2 linked regions of the Macaca mulatta genome follow. The protein of the gene in region 1 interacts with the protein of each later gene in a pairwise test. Links are inferred from orthologs where the notes say so. Each region holds a gene or a part of one and is shown on either strand. Other genes may lie near its edges.

Region 1 (4,739 bases):
AAGTGCTGAGATTACAGGCGTGAGCCAACATGCCTGGCCTAATCTGCTCTTTAATACATTTTTTTACTGCAGATATTTAAGGTATACAACATGATGTTATGAGATGTTATGAGAGACAGTAAAATGGTTACTATAATTGAAGGAAATTAACATACCCATCATCTCATCTAGTCACCCATTTTTTTTTTTGTTTTTGTGGCAAGAGGAGTTAAAATCTACTCATTTACCATGAATCTCATATGCAGTGCAATTTTATTAATTGTAGTCCTCATGTTTTACATTAGATCCCTAGACTTGTTTATCCTACATATCTGAAAAATATGGAAATCTTCACAAATTTTTGTGTCACCTTTGAGCAGGGGCCATGCTAATCTTCTCTGTATCATTCCAATTTTAGTATATGTGCTACCAAAGCAAGCACTAAACAATTATTTCATTATCCTTAGCAAATTAAGACAGGTACAGAAAACCAAATACGGCATATTGTCACTTATAAGTGGCAGCTACATGATGAGAACACATGGACACACAGAGGGGAACAACAGACACGGGCCTATCAGAGGGTGGAGGGTGGGAGGAATGAGAGGATCAGGAAAAACAATTAATGGGTACTAGCTTAATATGTGGGTAACAAAATGATCTGTACAACGAACTCCTATGACACAAGTTTATCATAACAAACCTGCACATATACACCCTGAACTTAAATTTTTTTAAATTACTTTATACATAACTGTACTTCAAAGTATTTCAAAGATAACTGTACATAGAAAGTTCTCTCCTTTCTCAAGTGCCTTTGTTCTTCCAGCAGAGGGTGCTGTTGTTATAGGAAGTTGATAGAGCACATAGTAGCAAAGGCCTTCCCTCCACTTGTCTAAACCTTGCCTGAAAGCCCCAAGTAGGTGGCTCACATTGCTGCAAGGGACAGTGTCACAACTGTTCAAAGGTCAAACAATACCTGTAGACATTTGAGCTCTCAGGCAGGGCTGCATCCAGGCTGACGGGGCTGCTGCTGTTCCTCTCACTGCTTTCATAGCCAGATTCCATTCGCTGGATTAGTCGGGGCTGCTGCTCTAAAAGGTGAGAGCCTGGCCGTGCTGGGCCCCAGTGCTTGTACTGGGGGCTTGGTCCACCAAATTTAATGTCATAAGAAGGTGGCTTGCTTGGTTCATCTGGTATAAATTCTTTAGCTATCCCAATCAAAAGACAGGTATGGAAAACGAGGTAGATTTAGCATTTGCCTAAAATCAAGACCTAACTAACTCCTCCCTCTGGCTACTTACTCACTGAACTCATATCCTTAAAACACCCAACATCAGAGTAAAAATGCCCCTTGCCAGATGTACCAAAAAACCCAGGTTTTAAAAAGACACAAATCAACTTTATTCAAAAGCCCAATTCTTCCCCCATTCTTCCCTTATCTCCTCACCTGAATCCTCAGAAAAGGGGCTAAGCTGGGTATAGCCACAGTGCTTCCTTTTGTCCTTACTAAAGATACTGTCAATATTCAGAGATTCTCGTTTTGGTCTCCATGTTGGACGATACTTGCTGGAAGAACTGGATTTTGACTCACTGCTGGTACTCTCTATTTCCCAGTCACGAGAGTGTAAAGGTAGGGTCTTAGGAGGTTTTTTGTCAGGCTGGTCTCCTCCCCTGCCCCCACAGTGGGAGCCTACATTGGTCTGAGAAGCCAGGGATGGTCTGTTATGGATCATATTGCTGACTGTCTCTTTAAAATCCCTCAGCCTGTTGGTGCTGCTGGATGGTTTGGAGGCATTTCTAGGAGCCTGCTTCTCTTTCAGTGTTTCTCCTAAAAACACAAAGAATGAAAGAAATATAGATGTTTAAAGTGATCATGAATACTAGATCCCAGTGTCGAAAAAGCAAAGAAAAGCCCTTTGAGCAGAAAGGAGAAGCTAACAGTCTGGAGCATGACAGAAGTTTGATAGAGTGAATGAAGGAGAAAGAGAAGCAGTGCAGAGGGGCTTGCCTTCACTGTGGTATCCTGAGGCCTGGGGCTCGTCGCCTTTCTTCCTAACCCGACCAGAGCTCCTCTTGCGCTCTATCAGTGACCCTTTTTTGGATGTGTGTTTCTGATTACATTCACTATCAGTCAGGTGTCCTGAAAAAACAAGGAAATTGGGGTAAGCTGGTATCTGAGACTAACCTCCATCCTCCTGAGAACCTACCTAATCTCCCTTTGGGAGTGCCACAAATTTAGAGTACCCATGGAACAGAAGCTGTAGGGCATAGGCTATCTGATTTCAGTGTAGGAACCTCCCAGTAGATAAATGCAGAGAAGGGCCTGGTACAGTGACTCACACCTATAATTCCAGCACTTTGGGAGGCTAAGGCGGGCAGATCACTTGAGGCCAGGAGCTTGAGACCAGCCTGGCCAACATGGCAAAACCCTGTCTCTACTAAAAATACAAAAATTAGTCGGGCATGGTTGCATGTGCCTGTAGTCCCAGCTACTGAGAGGCTGAGGCATTAGAATCACTTGAACCCAAGAGGTTGCAGTGAGCTGAGATCATGCCACTGCACTCCAGCCTGGACAACAGAACAAGACTCTGCTAAAAAAAAAAAAAAAAAAAAAAAAAAAAAGGATAAATGCAGAGAAGCTGGGAGCATCCAAATTTACAATGTCTTGACCAATCTCAATCCCACTGATAATCTTCCCCAGTGACCCAGAAGGTCTAACGACATGTTTCTAGGTAACTTTTTAAAGGCAAAAGTTTTAAAGATTATATAAAAATGTCAGGTAGCCATATACTTTCGCTCTCATAAATTGAAGACAGAGTTTTCCTTTTATTTATTTAGCAACACATATCAAATAAAGTCTGATTTTCAGTACATCTGGTATTATCCTGGATACTCCAGACTTTGCCCACAAGAGCTCTGATTGTATATGGCTTTAAGACCCAGTTCTAAGCTTCCCTTAATTGTAGATCATTTAAAGGACACTTCAACTTTGATTAATTCTCATTCCTATCCCCTACCCATGCTTCACGAAACTTGGCTCTATCCAGAGATTACACGTCACAGTTCCTTAATACTAATCACTGGGAAAACCAGGAGAGCTGGGCTCTTTTATGTAACTTGCCCAGCTTCATGCCCATAGTATGCAAATACATGAGCATGATTTGATGACAGCAAAGGTCAGATTCTAAAGGATATAAGCAACTAAAGTGCTGGAAGCCAGAGATGAATTAAGCAGGTAAAATAATTTTTTTTTTTTTTTTTTTTTGAGACGGAGTCTCGCTCTGTCACCCAGGCTGGAGTGCAGTGGCCGGATCTCAGCTCACTGCAAGCTCCGCCTCCCGGGTTTACGCCATTCTCCGGCCTCAGCCTCCCGAGTAGCTGGGACTACAGGCGCCCGCCACCTCGCCCGGCTAGTTTTTTGTATTTCTTAATAGAGACGGGGTTTCACCGTGTTAGCCAGGATGGTCTCGATCTCCTGACCTCGTGATCCGCCCGTCTCGGCCTCCCAAAGTGCTGGGATTACAGGCTTGAGCCACCGCGCCCGGCCAAAATAATTTTGAAGATACACTTAGGAAAAAAAAAAAAAAACCCTAGGTCAAATGCACGGAAAGCTAACAAGAATTTGTTTTCACATGACAGTATATGAAAATCCTTATACATATTCAGGTATCACCAGTGTAGTGATATGGATAAATATTTTCAATCAGTTGCCCCTTGGAATCTTGTATTGCTTTTATTTGGTCCTTTTCTACCTCTGTGCCCACAAGAAAGATTTAAGAGAGGAGGAAATGACTTGGAGCAACTAAGTCTTTTTTTTTTTTTTTTTTTTTTTTGAGATGGAGTCTAGCTCTGTCGCCCAGGCTGGAGTGCAGTGGCATGATCTTGGCTCACTGCAAGCTCTGCCTTGCGGGTTCACGCCATTCTTCTGCCTCAGCCTCCTGAGTAGCTGGGACTATAGGTGCCTGCCACCACGCCCAGCTAATTTTTTGTATTTTTTTTAGTAGAGACGGGGTTTCACCATGTTAGCCAGGATGGTCTCGATCTGACCTCGTGATCCGCCCACCTTAGCCTCCCAAAGTGCTGGGATTACAGGCGTGAGCCACTGCGCCTGGCCGCAACTAAGTCTTACAAATGTTAAACCAATGGGCATGTTCTCCATTCCTCACACCCTCCCTGCCAAAACCCCTAAACCATTAACACAAATCTGCCTCTACTGGAAAATACGCTTAGTTTATCCTGTGGCTTGGCTTCTCCCTGGTTCACAGATTCAAAAAGTGGGTCTAAAAAACTCACATCTGACACAATCAATGCAGTAGTCATCAAAAGAAAACCAACACAAGTCTGACCAAACCTCTAGGTCCAACTACCAATTTACAAGAAATATAGGACACAGAAACATGTTAAAGTATACCATAGGAATAAAATCAGCAAAATTCAGAATGTGGGAAATCTACAGGACAAAATACCTAGTTCTAGCAATAAATTGCAAGGAAAAAAATAGAGGAAAAAACATTATATTAAAAGAAACGCAAAGGATTTATCAACTCATCACAATACACAGACCTCATTTAGATGCTGAGTCAAACACATAAACCATGAAAATATTATAATACTTGTAAGTGGATATTTGAACACTCATTGGTTACCTAGCAGTTTTAAGGAATTATCATTACTATTTTTAAGTGTTATAATGCTACATTTAAAAAGTGATTTCTTATGTTTCAGCAAACATAAGAAATATTTATGGAAAATGTGAT
Region 2 (4,739 bases), on another chromosome or scaffold:
CTCACCCACCTGAAAGCTAGTGGGGGAGCCTAATTCCCAATACCCAATGGAACCCCACGGTCTGAGCTGATGCTAAAAGTTGTGAAGAAAATGTGGGATTAAGACATTGGCGGGGGCTGGGGGGGGGTGCAAATGCAACTAAGATTGAAAATACTTTTTGCAGAGGAATATACCACCACAAAATGACATCTATTCAGGTATTGAAATGTTATCAAGCCTATCCTAGAATCTTAGAGCTGGTGGTGGGAGGGGATGGATTGGAGACACCAGAATGCCGGGAGAAGCAGTGGAACAAGATGTGAGGGGCATATGGGACGTGTGAAAATGCTACGATGGGCACTGCCCAGCCATGCATTTGCCCTGGCCCAGGGCATAGTTCCCTTCTTCTTTCTCCACCAAGCTGTTTGGCAGTGGAAGTGGAGGGGACATGATTTTGAGATTTTAAAAATAGAGATTATAGCTGAAGGGGAAACCAGAGAGACCCCTACCCACCAAAAACTAGAGGTCTTGGTCAGAGTGGACAAAACCAACTTTGCAGACAAGGAAAGGCAGCGCAGCTACAAATGAGGCCCAGGTCACAACACCATGCAGAGGTCAGGGCAGCAGGAGGGTGGGGGCGGCGCAGGCACTTAGGCACAACACAGACAAAGGTGGGGGATCAGTGCCTGGGAAAAAAGGGTCTACTAATTCTTTCTAAAGTCACCATTACCAGCAAGATTCTGTGAGATTTCAAAGTGAGTCTGGCATGCTGAATTGGAGGAGCTTTGTTAGGTGAGCTACCTTTCCAGAGGCCCTGCCTAGAACCCAGTCAGCCTGGCTATCAAGTCTCTCTCCCAAAGTCCGCTGACTTAATCCCTGGCAAGGTAGTACTTCACTCTGAACCCTGAAGGGGCTCTCCCTCTGGGCCCCCGTGCTGCTAGAAGCCTTGTAGGCGGAATGGTGAGGAGAGATGGGGAAGAGCTATGAAGCAGAGGATCAAGCAGAGTCCTGTAGATCAGAGTGCTCCTCCCCTACACACTCAGCCACAGACATCTGGAACAAAATCACCCTTTAAAGTGCGCATCTCTCACAAGAAGGGTTCTGGGTGGGAACCCTCTTATTTCCAACCTTGGGGCCTCCTGCCCTTCCACCACAAAAAAGAAAAAAAACTTCTGACAGTTTAACTGCTACTATAAGCTGTGGATCATCATTTTTGGCTCTCTTTACTCCCTCCCTCTGCCATCTGCTCCCAAAGCCTGGACTTTCTCTTGCAGGAGCTAGGGATGGGGAGGAAAGAACAGGGAGGCCCTGATTTTGGAATGTTTCTTCTCCTGTGTGCACCCCCTTCCTTCCTTGCCCCAGGCCTGCTGCTCCCCATCACAACACCCTCTGGGGTTGTCCTGAAAGGACGCCATGGGGTAATGAGCAACAGATCCTGCCTTGGGAGGCTGACTTCATGCCTCCCCTTTCCCCCAAATCTCACTGCCAAGAAAGCCATTCCCTGCTCGGCGTGTGCAAATCCTCTGCCTGCTCACGGCGGCGAGGCAAGGCTCTGGGGTAAAGCCCCAGTCCTGGTCTGGGAAAGAGGTTCATTTTCCCGCATTGGAACGCCCTTCAATGGACAGCTTTACCTCCTGTGGAATGAAAGAGGGACGGAGCAGCGCAGCCCGTGCCTCCTCCCCTTGCATGCCGTATCTTTGGAAGCTCGGGGTTGGCCAGCAGGCCTGAGCACCAGGCTCAGGCTGGGAAGGCTCTACCACATGGGAGCCCTCTCCTGCCAGCTGGCTCTTCCCCTCACTGTCACATAGCTCTCTGGGTCCCAAGACGGTCCTCTCAGGCCTTGCTCGGGGGGGACCCAGCTGGCCTGGGGGAGCACAGCTGGCCTGAGAAACTGAGTTACTGTTCAAGCTCTGTAAACTGATAGAGATGCAGACATCTCCCACCTGTAGCCGATGGCAGGGCAGAGAGAAGAGTTGTGTCGTCCGCCCAGGGCTGCAAGAGGACCAACCCTGGCCATATACAAAGAAGGGGTGCTCAGGGGGCACCTCGATGCTCACTTTGCTCTGCTGCTCACCAACCACAAAATGTAGCATGACAAATCCAGGCCATTGGCTCTCCTGAATGTCCACGACCGTGCTAGAGTCAATCTTCAGCCCCCCACTCACTTCGGCACTGCGCACAAAATCCTGGGTCTGGAGGTCCTCCACCCGCTTCAGCTCTCCCGTAGCCAGCTGGATGATGGCGCCTTTCATGAAATGGGAAGGCAAGTGGGAGGAGGTAATAGGGGGCGGCGTTGGCTCTTTGTCTGGGAAGGTGGCTCTGGCCTGCACGTCCAGACTTGATGCTACCAGGATCTCCGAGCCCACAGGCAGCAGGCCTGAGTCAGCTCCAGTGGGCACCAGGTTGCCATTGGCTACAACCATTGCTTTGGGTAAAGGTCTATGTTTTACTGGTTCCTGATGGGACTGAGGGTAGAACCCACAGGCTTGATTTTTCTCTGCCAGCTCTGCAGGGTTCCTGGCTGACCCTCGCCCCTCACCCTGATGGTCGGGGGGATGATGGGATAGGTTGAGGGGGCTGGGTTCCTCTTTCCTCTGAGCTGCCACCACACGATAGTCCTGAGAAGCTAAAGCGCCAACCACTCGCTGGACCTCAAGGTCGGTGTCCGGGGTCCCCCGGTGTGCTGGTGCCGCTACCTCCACCTGTGGAGTCTGAGAACCTGAAAACAACTGTCCATCCACCACACATTCTACCACTGGCACCAGTCCCTGGCCTTCACCCTTGCTGTTGGGGGAGTCAAGGGCTTCACTTTCCCGTCTTACTAAATTTCGTTCTCGCGGTCTCTGTCCTCCATTTGCAGCAGCTGCTTCCAGAGCAGACTGGCTCTCCTGAGGGGTAAGAACTGGGCTGGCACCTGCTGGAGGGGTTTCATGCAAAGTATACCCAGCAGGTAGCCTGGACATCTGATAATAAATGGGCATCCGACCTGGAGCAAGGTCCAGCGGCTGAGTACTTGAATGATGTGGCAATTGCCCAGGTGGGGAGGTGGCAGAGGGAGCTTTGTTAAATGAGTGGGCTGGGGAGGGAGCCTGTGGGGGAGGAGTGGCTCCTTCTGCCAGAAGTGAGGCATATGGCACAAAGTGTGGAAGGTGAGAGGTGGCAAGGTTGGCAGAAGGAGACAGGAGGGGACTCGGTAGGAAATTAGGTGGCACAGCATAGGGAAGGCTATAAGGAGACCCAATGAACTGCAGTGAGGTGGATGGAAGCTGAGCATAGTGGATTGGGGGATAGTGGATGCCTGGATGTTGAATTAGTGAAGACGCTACATTAAACGTCGGGGGCAAGGGGCTCATATTCACCACAGACGGGAGGCCAGTTGGTGAGAAGGTGGCAGGTGGCACAGCCACCTTATACAGCATGCCATACTGGTCCACTGTCAGACCGGTGATGGCCTCAGCTCCATCACCCCCCAGGCTGACTCTGGTTCCTGCCTGGCTCTGCCCAGCCACCACAACCCCTCGGGACCATTCAGAAGCATCACTGGAGGGTGTGTGGTTAGCGGAGCAGCTGGTAGTTCTCCCCATATCCTCGCTGGTCACGGGGAGGTCTCGTTTCTTTGGTGGAAGGCATTCCTGACTCCTCTCATGAACAGGTTTCATATTGCTTTGTGGTGTTCCTGGAGCCTGGAAGGAGTCGGCTTGCTCCCTGGGGCATCAGAAGGGGCTTCTCTGTAGCTTCCCTGTACCCCTCTCTGCTTCTGGCTGGGGCGCCCACATCTGCTAGGGAACAAATCAGAGGCAAACAAAAGTAACCTAGGGATGAGCCAAGACAAAGGAAATAGAAAGAACTGCGCCATGAAGGAAGATGTAACAAAGGAGACTGTTAGAAAATAAGGAGGAAAGAGAAAGGGGCAGACAAGGAGGCTACCCCCAACTCATCCAGCCTGGGACATGAGAGAAACACAAGGCACAAAGAGCTATAGGGACAAGCATTCACCAATGCACAAATAACCTGTGGGCTCCACAAGCCCAGAGAGACCAACAGCTTCACAGTTAGTCATATGTCTCATGAGCCATGAGCACCTTGTCTTTTTTCTGCCTTCTTCCCAAAGGGGGCTTTGAACACATGGTCTTTCCTGCTTGCTCTTTTGGTGTGTTTTTTTTTTTTTTTTACACATGGAGTTTTGCTTTTGTTGCCCAGGCCAGAGTGCAATGGTGCAATCTCAGTTCACTGCAACCTCCGCCTCCCAGGTTCAAGGAATTCTGCCTCGGCCTCCCGAGTAGCTGGGACTACAGGCATGCACCACCATGCCCAGCTAACTTTATATTTTTAATAGAGATGGAGTTTCACATGTTGGCCAGGCTAGTCTTGAACTCTTGCCCTTGGGTGATCTGCCCGCCTCAGCCCCCCAAAGTGTTGGGATTATGGGTGTGAGCCACAGCGCCCAGCCTCCTGCTGGCTCTTTTTCTTAAGTTTCTCCTTTTGCTACCAAACATGAATGTGCCACCTTCTTTCCTGAACACATGACCTCATCCTTGCTTCCTTTCTGTAGCCTAATTTGGGTTATGATCTCACCTACTACTATCCCAAGCCTGGCTAAAAACTCTCTTCCTCCTTTGCCTCATATCATCCGTACCTCAAGGACCTAGGTGTCAAAATCTTCAGGTCTGCTTGTGTCTTTGTTTTTAAACTCTGCTCCCTAACCAGGTTATGAAAATTAACATCTTTGCCCCATGAAATAATACATTTTAACTCAGCCT

The links.
Region 2: the proteins of USP54 (region 1) and ATXN1L interact in binary tests that used the Homo sapiens proteins (3 or more experiments, as listed by UniProt). The link is inferred for Macaca mulatta from reciprocal best matches to the Homo sapiens genes USP54 and ATXN1L.

Annotation. Positions count from the first base shown.
Region 1 is NC_133414.1:76,014,105-76,018,843, reverse strand, and holds part of USP54 (ubiquitin carboxyl-terminal hydrolase 54), read right to left. Parts: intron 2,123-4,739; coding exon 1,991-2,122; intron 1,811-1,990; coding exon 1,430-1,810; intron 1,191-1,429; coding exon 959-1,190; intron 422-958; exon of another isoform or gene 315-421; intron 70-314; exon of another isoform or gene 1-69.
Region 2 is NC_133425.1:68,023,018-68,027,756, forward strand, and holds part of ATXN1L (ataxin-1-like), read right to left. Parts: intron 3,759-4,739; 5' UTR 3,639-3,758; coding exon 1,569-3,638; 3' UTR 1-1,568. UniProt on the Homo sapiens protein: Chromatin-binding factor that repress Notch signaling in the absence of Notch intracellular domain by acting as a CBF1 corepressor. Binds to the HEY promoter and might assist, along with NCOR2, RBPJ-mediated repression.